Linked DNA regions of Drosophila melanogaster. The protein of the gene in region 2 interacts with the protein of the main gene of each other region in a pairwise test. Each region holds a gene or a part of one and is shown on either strand. Other genes may lie near its edges.

Region 1 (3,756 bases), about 17 Mb from region 2:
TGACCTTTTCCTGATCCCGATCCCTTTCCTTCTCCCGCTCCTTGAGCACCACATTGGCATCAACAGGCGGTGGCTGCTGGTCCTGATCCCTCCTCCGTATGCTGTACGAGATCGGCAGACTGTCCGTCGAAGCATTGTCATCGATATACGCTAAGTTTTCCTCCACCACAAAGGGTCGTCCTGCGATCGGTTCGTTCGCCTCGCCGCTGGACGTGGTCACCTTCTCCGGCTTCTTTGGTGTGGCCATGGCTTGAATCTGATGCTGCGGCGCGGAGCTGGGAGTCACATCGCTGACATTGGTCTTGCCAGCGGTTCCCGCGCGAATGGCCGCCTTTCGCACCAGCAGGAAGATTCGGGCATAACAGATCACGATGCAGATGCACGGCACCATGAAGGCGGCGATGAAGAGGAACTCCTTGGGGGATCTACCATACCGATCATGCATGATGGAACACGAGCCGATGCTGACGTCCAAGCCAAAGATACCCCATACGCCCCGCCAGGTGGGTATCATTATGGAAAACGTGGTGATCCATGTGCCGGCTACCATCAAAGCCAAATATCGTCGCTGGTAAATTCTGGAAGAACGGATTTGAACCAGTGGGAATTGTATTTTGTACCATGTCTAATTTGATAATAATATATGCTCATTGTATTCAAATATATTATTTTAAGATATCCGTAGCTCACGAAAATAAAAACTAGCTAGTTATTTATTTCTCCAGAAATATTGTAGTTCATATTTTATAAGATATTAATTTCCGTTCAGTTTAATTGTTTATTACGAAAATATTGAGATCGCTGAACCGACCTTTTCTATAGCATTTGCCTCTAGCAAGTAATGTTCTCTTTTTTAGTTAATTAAAAAACATCTACGAGAAGCCATACATTTTCCTTTTTATAAACAAGTTCAAAAGTTTATAAGTTCAGAAACACAATAACATATGTGTGGGTTTTTTTCTCAGATTAAGTGGTAGGTTACCATGCGTATCATAATAAACAGATAAGCACCAAGAGGAAGAGTTGGGCACTCTGAATACCCTTCAAGATTTAGGCAGGACATGCCGATATGGGCAGGCCCATTCTCACCTTGGATACTGCCTGGGATGGGCGATAATGATGTACCGGTTGATGGTGATCAGCGACACGGAGAGCAGGGACACCGCCAGCAAGCCGTAGCGCAGCATCGGAAACAACCTGCACAGCAGATCACTATGGGTCCACGCCCGCTCCTTGAAAGTGGACGCGGCCAATGGCAGATTAAAGCAGCCAAAGAGTAGATCCGAGCAGGACAAATTGATTATGAATATGGCCGTGGAGTTGCGGGTTTGACGACCTCGCGACAGGGCCACTATGGTCAGTAAATTTCCGGGAACGCCCACAATGATGAACACTATGCAGGCCACCCAGGCGATGGTCAGCAGCTCGTCCGAATAGCCCTCGAAGAGCACCTGGCGCCTGTCGTCTACATTGAGATTAAGATTCATATTCAGATTGAGGTCCACGTCCACGTCCAGGTCCAGGCTGTCGGAAAGGGGTACCGGCAACACCGCGTCCTGATCCGCCATGTGATCAGTAGCATAGGGATCCGAAAGAGGCAGCGCTATCGAGATCGGATGCGGAGTTGGTCCGGATTTTGGTGGGAACATCGCGCGGCACTTTGTGTTCGGCAAAAGACGCGTTGCTCGTTCCTGCGCCGAATTTGTACTAAAACTGAATTCTCCGCATCCATACACCGACATGGTTCCCACCCAAAAAGTGGGCCCGAAGGCAGTCGCCGCCAGCCAAGCGTACAAAATATTGAGAAAAAAAAAAAAAACAGCAGGCGAACTAGAAAAACTTTCAAAAAGGAAAACAAAAGAATCTCAGAGCAGCAACAGCAGCAACAACACACATTTTTATTGTATACAACAATTGACTTCATCATCGGGTAATTTGGTAATTTGCGTGTGGAATGGGCGCTTTGTTTACATTGTTCCTATTCGGTGTTGTTTCTTAACCGCCCTTCCCGCCCCATTCCGCCCCAATCCACTCGACTCTTTCGCTCTTTCGTCGATATTCTGACGGGGTCATGTTGCTGTTGTTGCCGTTTTTCAAAGTTTCAGATACTAGACCAGGGATACCATTGCCCAAAATGGTTCGACGTTTTAGCTACATACTTGAGCATTCCGACAGCCAGAACATACATACTTGCATTAGACTAGTCTTTGCATCAGTCTGGTGGAATATAAGTCATGAGCAGCATGGGGAAAGTTATCTGCATTGCTAACACAATTCAAGACTTATCACTTGCAATGAAGTAAGAAGTTCCCCTCCTTAATTGATACCTTGACCGATACGTCTTGGATGCTTAAAAAATTCGGTGTGCCAGAGGTTACATGAATATATTGGGAATACAATGAATAAGCTCCTACAGATGAATCGAGTCTATTCGTAGCCCTGATTTCGGGCCATACGCACCTCTCCGGCATTTTTGAAATGAAAAACTTTTCGGTTCCTGGGTCGTGTGCATGTGTGTGTGTGTTTGTGTGTGTGGTTGCATAGTTTCCTCTGGCAATTTTCTGGATAATAAATGGGCGGCATCCATTCGAAGCGAGGAACTGAAAAAAAAAGCAAAACTTTTGCGAGAGGGACTCATTCGAATAAATATGCCTATAGATCGAATTTGTGCGTAGAATGAATACTCCAGTCATGGGCGATTAATCCTGAATCATAACTCGAGACTATGCGTTTTTCACGCTCTCATAACCCGTTTCGAATAATGAGTCAAACCCCGGAAGCCTGGTGTCACACGACGTCAGCGTACATATGTAGTCTTAATTAATCAAGCCAATATGCCGGGGGAAACCTCTCTACTTTTCCGAGGGTCAGAGTGCGGGTCGTCTGTTGGGTCGAATTGAGTATTGTTTGCCTTTTGAAAAGAAAAACAGGCGGTTCTAGGGAAAACTCTTTGGCAACGGCACGAATACGAATACGTTGTTTGTTTTCATGCAGGCCAATAGTCCGGGAATTGCAGCCGACTACCCAAGAAAATAACATTCAGTTCTTGAGGAAATTAATATAATTATAGCGCCATATCGCATTCACTTAAATGACGAGAAATTTTTAAGTTTAAGATCCTAGGAACTGGATGGAATACAATACGTGATAACGAAACATATGGCTCATCCTCGTACTTGCGAAAACATGCGTTTTCATAAAACAATACAAGGCTTTATCGAGCTTAATCTAAACGTATAATCCCATCATTTTTTAAGAAATTAAAAGTGCACTATCCTTGCGCCCACCACTGTACTTGGAAATGCCTGCGGGATGGGCATAAAAGTGGAAACTAAGACCTCCCCCCCCCCCCCACTCATCAACCATTCTTGATATGATTGTGAATACGATTCGAACGCCAATCGACGCCCGCTTCGGATTCGAATTCGGATCCAGAGATCCAGACTAATGTAAACTTCTCCGGCGTACTTACATATACGCCTATACGCATACGCACACGCACGGGCCCATGTTTAGATAGCCATAAACTATCGTGTTCTTCACACAATCCGCAGCAAACAACAAACAATGAGAGTGCGCACAAATCCCTACGTCTTCAGTTCGATATCTGCACCGAAAACATTTATTACCAGGTCACAGTTCCTAATGCGATATGTGCGGTAGCTCCAACCATCAGTTCCTTACCATGCGACAGACCGTTTTTCCCAGTGCAGCCATGTTGGATCGCCTCGATCGATGTCGAATGTCCAATTGTGT
Region 2 (3,229 bases):
CTCCAGCGCCTGCATCTGCAGGCTGACTAGCTGGTGCAGCTCCTCGTTGAGCGTGGGCTTGCTCTTGCGGTGGCGCCGATGATTCTTTTGCTGACGCCGGGTTTCGCCCACCACCTCGGCGAAGGCGGTGTTGTCCTGGAACTGCGGGTGCTTCTTGGTGTGCTTTAGAACGTGCTCGTAGATGAGCAGCCGCTGACTCGCGTCGAGTCCTGCCTGCAGATCATCAAAGGAGGCAGCAGGAAGGAGGCGTCGTGCTCTTTCGGTGCCCACAATGCCCTGAATAGTCGAGTCATCGAGCTGGATGCTAAAGTCGGGATTGTTGCTGCATGACGCCGGCAATGGCAATGGCTCTAACACCTCCGATTTAGTTGCGCCGTTTTTGTCCTGTGGTCTGTGGCTACCCGCCCCCATCACCCCGCGCTCGCTCCAACCGAAGCGCTGCAGGATGACGTGGAGACGCCTCCTGCTGGCTGTCACAAAAAGACGCAGCTGTTCTCGCTTCTCGTCCACATCTTCGCCAGACATTTTTAGCCAGCGCGAAACAGAACAGAACAGAACAGCAAGTGTTGGGAAAGCCCGAAATGTGCGGCCAGTGCTGCAGAACGCAGCGTGTATTTACAGTCCTAGAAAGTTTGGAATATCTAATCTATGGTGCCATTCGGCTCCTGGAGGGGATGCGGGATGCAGGAGCTCAGCTCCAAAAGAGAACGGTGAAGGCCATGATCAGGCAGGCGGCTCCTACCCACGGCGACTTGCGCTCCCCAATCCTTGCCAGCTTCCAGAAGGTGCCCATGAATCTGCAAACAGACAGCAGACGAGTGTTGAGTGTGGTAACAATCAGTGGACTGGTCAGGGCGGGAACGGGCACCTACCCGGTCTTGTTGCGGTCTATCAAGCTGGGGAAGAGCGAGCGCAGGTAGGCACAGGTGCAGATCAGCAGCAGGATGACCGACAGCAGGCTGTGGAAGTTGAACAGGGCGCTCTGTGGAGGGAAACGGTGCTAAGTGTACGACGGAGGAGTATCGGTTAGGTGAGCGTTTCAAACCATGATTTAGCAAATCGAAATCCGTGCTTGGCGATAGAATAACAACAAGCGGTAAACTAGTGACGTGCCAGCCGCTCGGCGCAGGCGAACTGGTTCCAAAACTGGAATCTCACGTTTCGACTGATTCGATAGGTGGTTAATCAACTGTTAGAATGATAAGGAATGTTACAATGTTTAGGAGTTAATATAAGAATATATTTATATTAAATACATATTTTGGCGACCTACTTCCATTATCTGGGATGGACATTGGATAAATATTTTACAATAGAAAGTAACAAGCTCTTAGCCAAGTTCCCACAGGGAGCATAAAAACGCCATAGGAAGTATTGAAAAGTGCAAGAGTTTACAAAAGACATCGTATACAAAAAAACGTAAGCTTAATTTCGATAGTATCGGAACTTGTATTGCAATCCAACCGTGGGTCAAGTAAATGAAATAAGATAAGACTTTGTTTCAATTAACGTTGGCAGTGGAGCTTCCCCCAATTGAAATATGTGCCAATGGAATCGGGCTATTAGGTCAAGTGAATTCAATCGACTGGCGCGGAACAGCAATCGATGGGTCCACACTTATCGCACATAGTATCGCATAAACATCGACGCAGTGGGCCACCTCTAGCAATTTGTCTGCAACTTCTAATTCGCTGCGGGTATTTTTTTTGTGTTTGTTGTTACATATAATCCGATCAATTTCGATCGCCCGCTTGGCAAATCAGTGTCTTGCTGTTCCGATTGGTGAGCTTTGGCCAATTCTCGGCGAGCGTCAGTAAATCGTTCGATTTGGCTTTAAGTCCGCCCGTGCTTTTGCGTTTTCCTTGGCTCTTTTCTTCATTTTTGTGGCCCGTTTTCGTTTTCCACTTGGTATCGCGAGGGGATGAAGGAGGGGAGCAGGAGCGGAGAATCCCGACCGAGTGCATCCCCAATGTGTGTGCGTGTACGTCTGTGAATACGATGGTGCTGCCAATGCAATTGTAACTGAGCGCGCTCATAAAAATCAAAAGTATATTTAGATATACATGTACATATATATAATAATCGGATACGTTTTCTCATTGCCCCCCCTGTCGGTGTGTGTGCGTGTGTATTTAAATCAGTAATACAGTGTGTGTGTGACGAGCGCGCTGGGTTTTGTTGTTAAGTGCGAGTGAGTAAGAGAGAGGGAACACGAGCGAGACAGCAGCCGGAGCAACAGAGAGGCAAACAGGAACTGCAACAAGAAAAACAATAACATTCTGTGGCAGCAGCAGCAGCGATGACTTCCAGTCGCTGCACTGGCAAAGCGGTAAGTTCCCGACTGCAATATTAAGCTAAGCTATGATCCGCGAATCGGTTCCTTGCATGTGTATTTATGTAAGTACACACACACACCCGCACGCGCGCCAAACACACGCACTTGCGTGTATCGTTGACGTCGGCGATTACAGCACTGTTAGCTGCTAACAGCACAGTGACGGCCACTCGCATAGATCCGCGCCAAAGTTATCGGAGTGCCCCACTCGAGGGGCGGTAAATCGTGAGTGAAAAGTGTAAAATACAAACAGTATATGCTCTTTTAACCCCACCCCCAATTTTAAAGTGCTACGGTTTAAAGTGCTGCGAACCGGAGGTGAGTTGCATTATTATATCCTCTTCCAGTGCTTTCATGACACATTCACCCATGGACCTACACCCGCGAACACCAAAACACTACGCACATGCGCAGAGCGGCCACCGACACCGATAACACACCAATGCAATGCAAAAAAGTCGCGCTCTAGTGTGCGCTCTTTATTTTTGTTTTTAGTTTCGCTCCACTCTGCCTTCTGTATTCATCGGGTGCATTTATTGTTATCGGTTTCTCTTCCAGCAAAGTCGGTAATCGCTGCGTGTGCCTCGATTCGTAAACGGTAAACAAGCAATATTTTGTTTTTCATGCTGATTATCATGTTGATGAATGAAGGAGCATTTACGCAATTGTTTTGTGAATTTTCCGCTGTACACTGAAAGATTCTCTTTGTGGTTTCTCCATCTCCCTCGCTCTCTCTCGCTGGCCGATGGCCCACCACACAGGCATTCACACACACCACCACCGCGCGCACACACACACATTTACAGTAGGCCGCCATTGCTCTGCTGCGCAGCTTTTACAGTGTTGCATTCTGCCGCGCAGTGTTGTTGCTGCCGTGAAAGCTTTTTCGGCCCT

What was found. Proteins that work in one complex are often made in the same cells at the same time.
Region 1: the proteins of ksh (region 2) and CG4313 interact in a two-hybrid assay, tested with the Drosophila melanogaster proteins (one large-scale study listed by BioGRID).

The regions. Positions count from the first base shown.
Region 1 is NC_004354.4:2,050,639-2,054,394, reverse strand, and holds the start of CG4313 (uncharacterized protein), read right to left. Parts: upstream 1,712-3,756; 5' UTR 1,650-1,711; coding exon 1,090-1,649; intron 579-1,089; coding exon 1-578.
Region 2 is NC_004354.4:19,493,855-19,497,083, forward strand, and holds ksh (kish), read right to left. Parts: upstream 1,139-3,229; 5' UTR 1,049-1,138; coding exon 1,046-1,048; intron 983-1,045; coding exon 873-982; intron 798-872; coding exon 692-797; 3' UTR 566-691; downstream 1-565. Other genes in the region: CG12204 (uncharacterized protein), read right to left, coding at 1-525.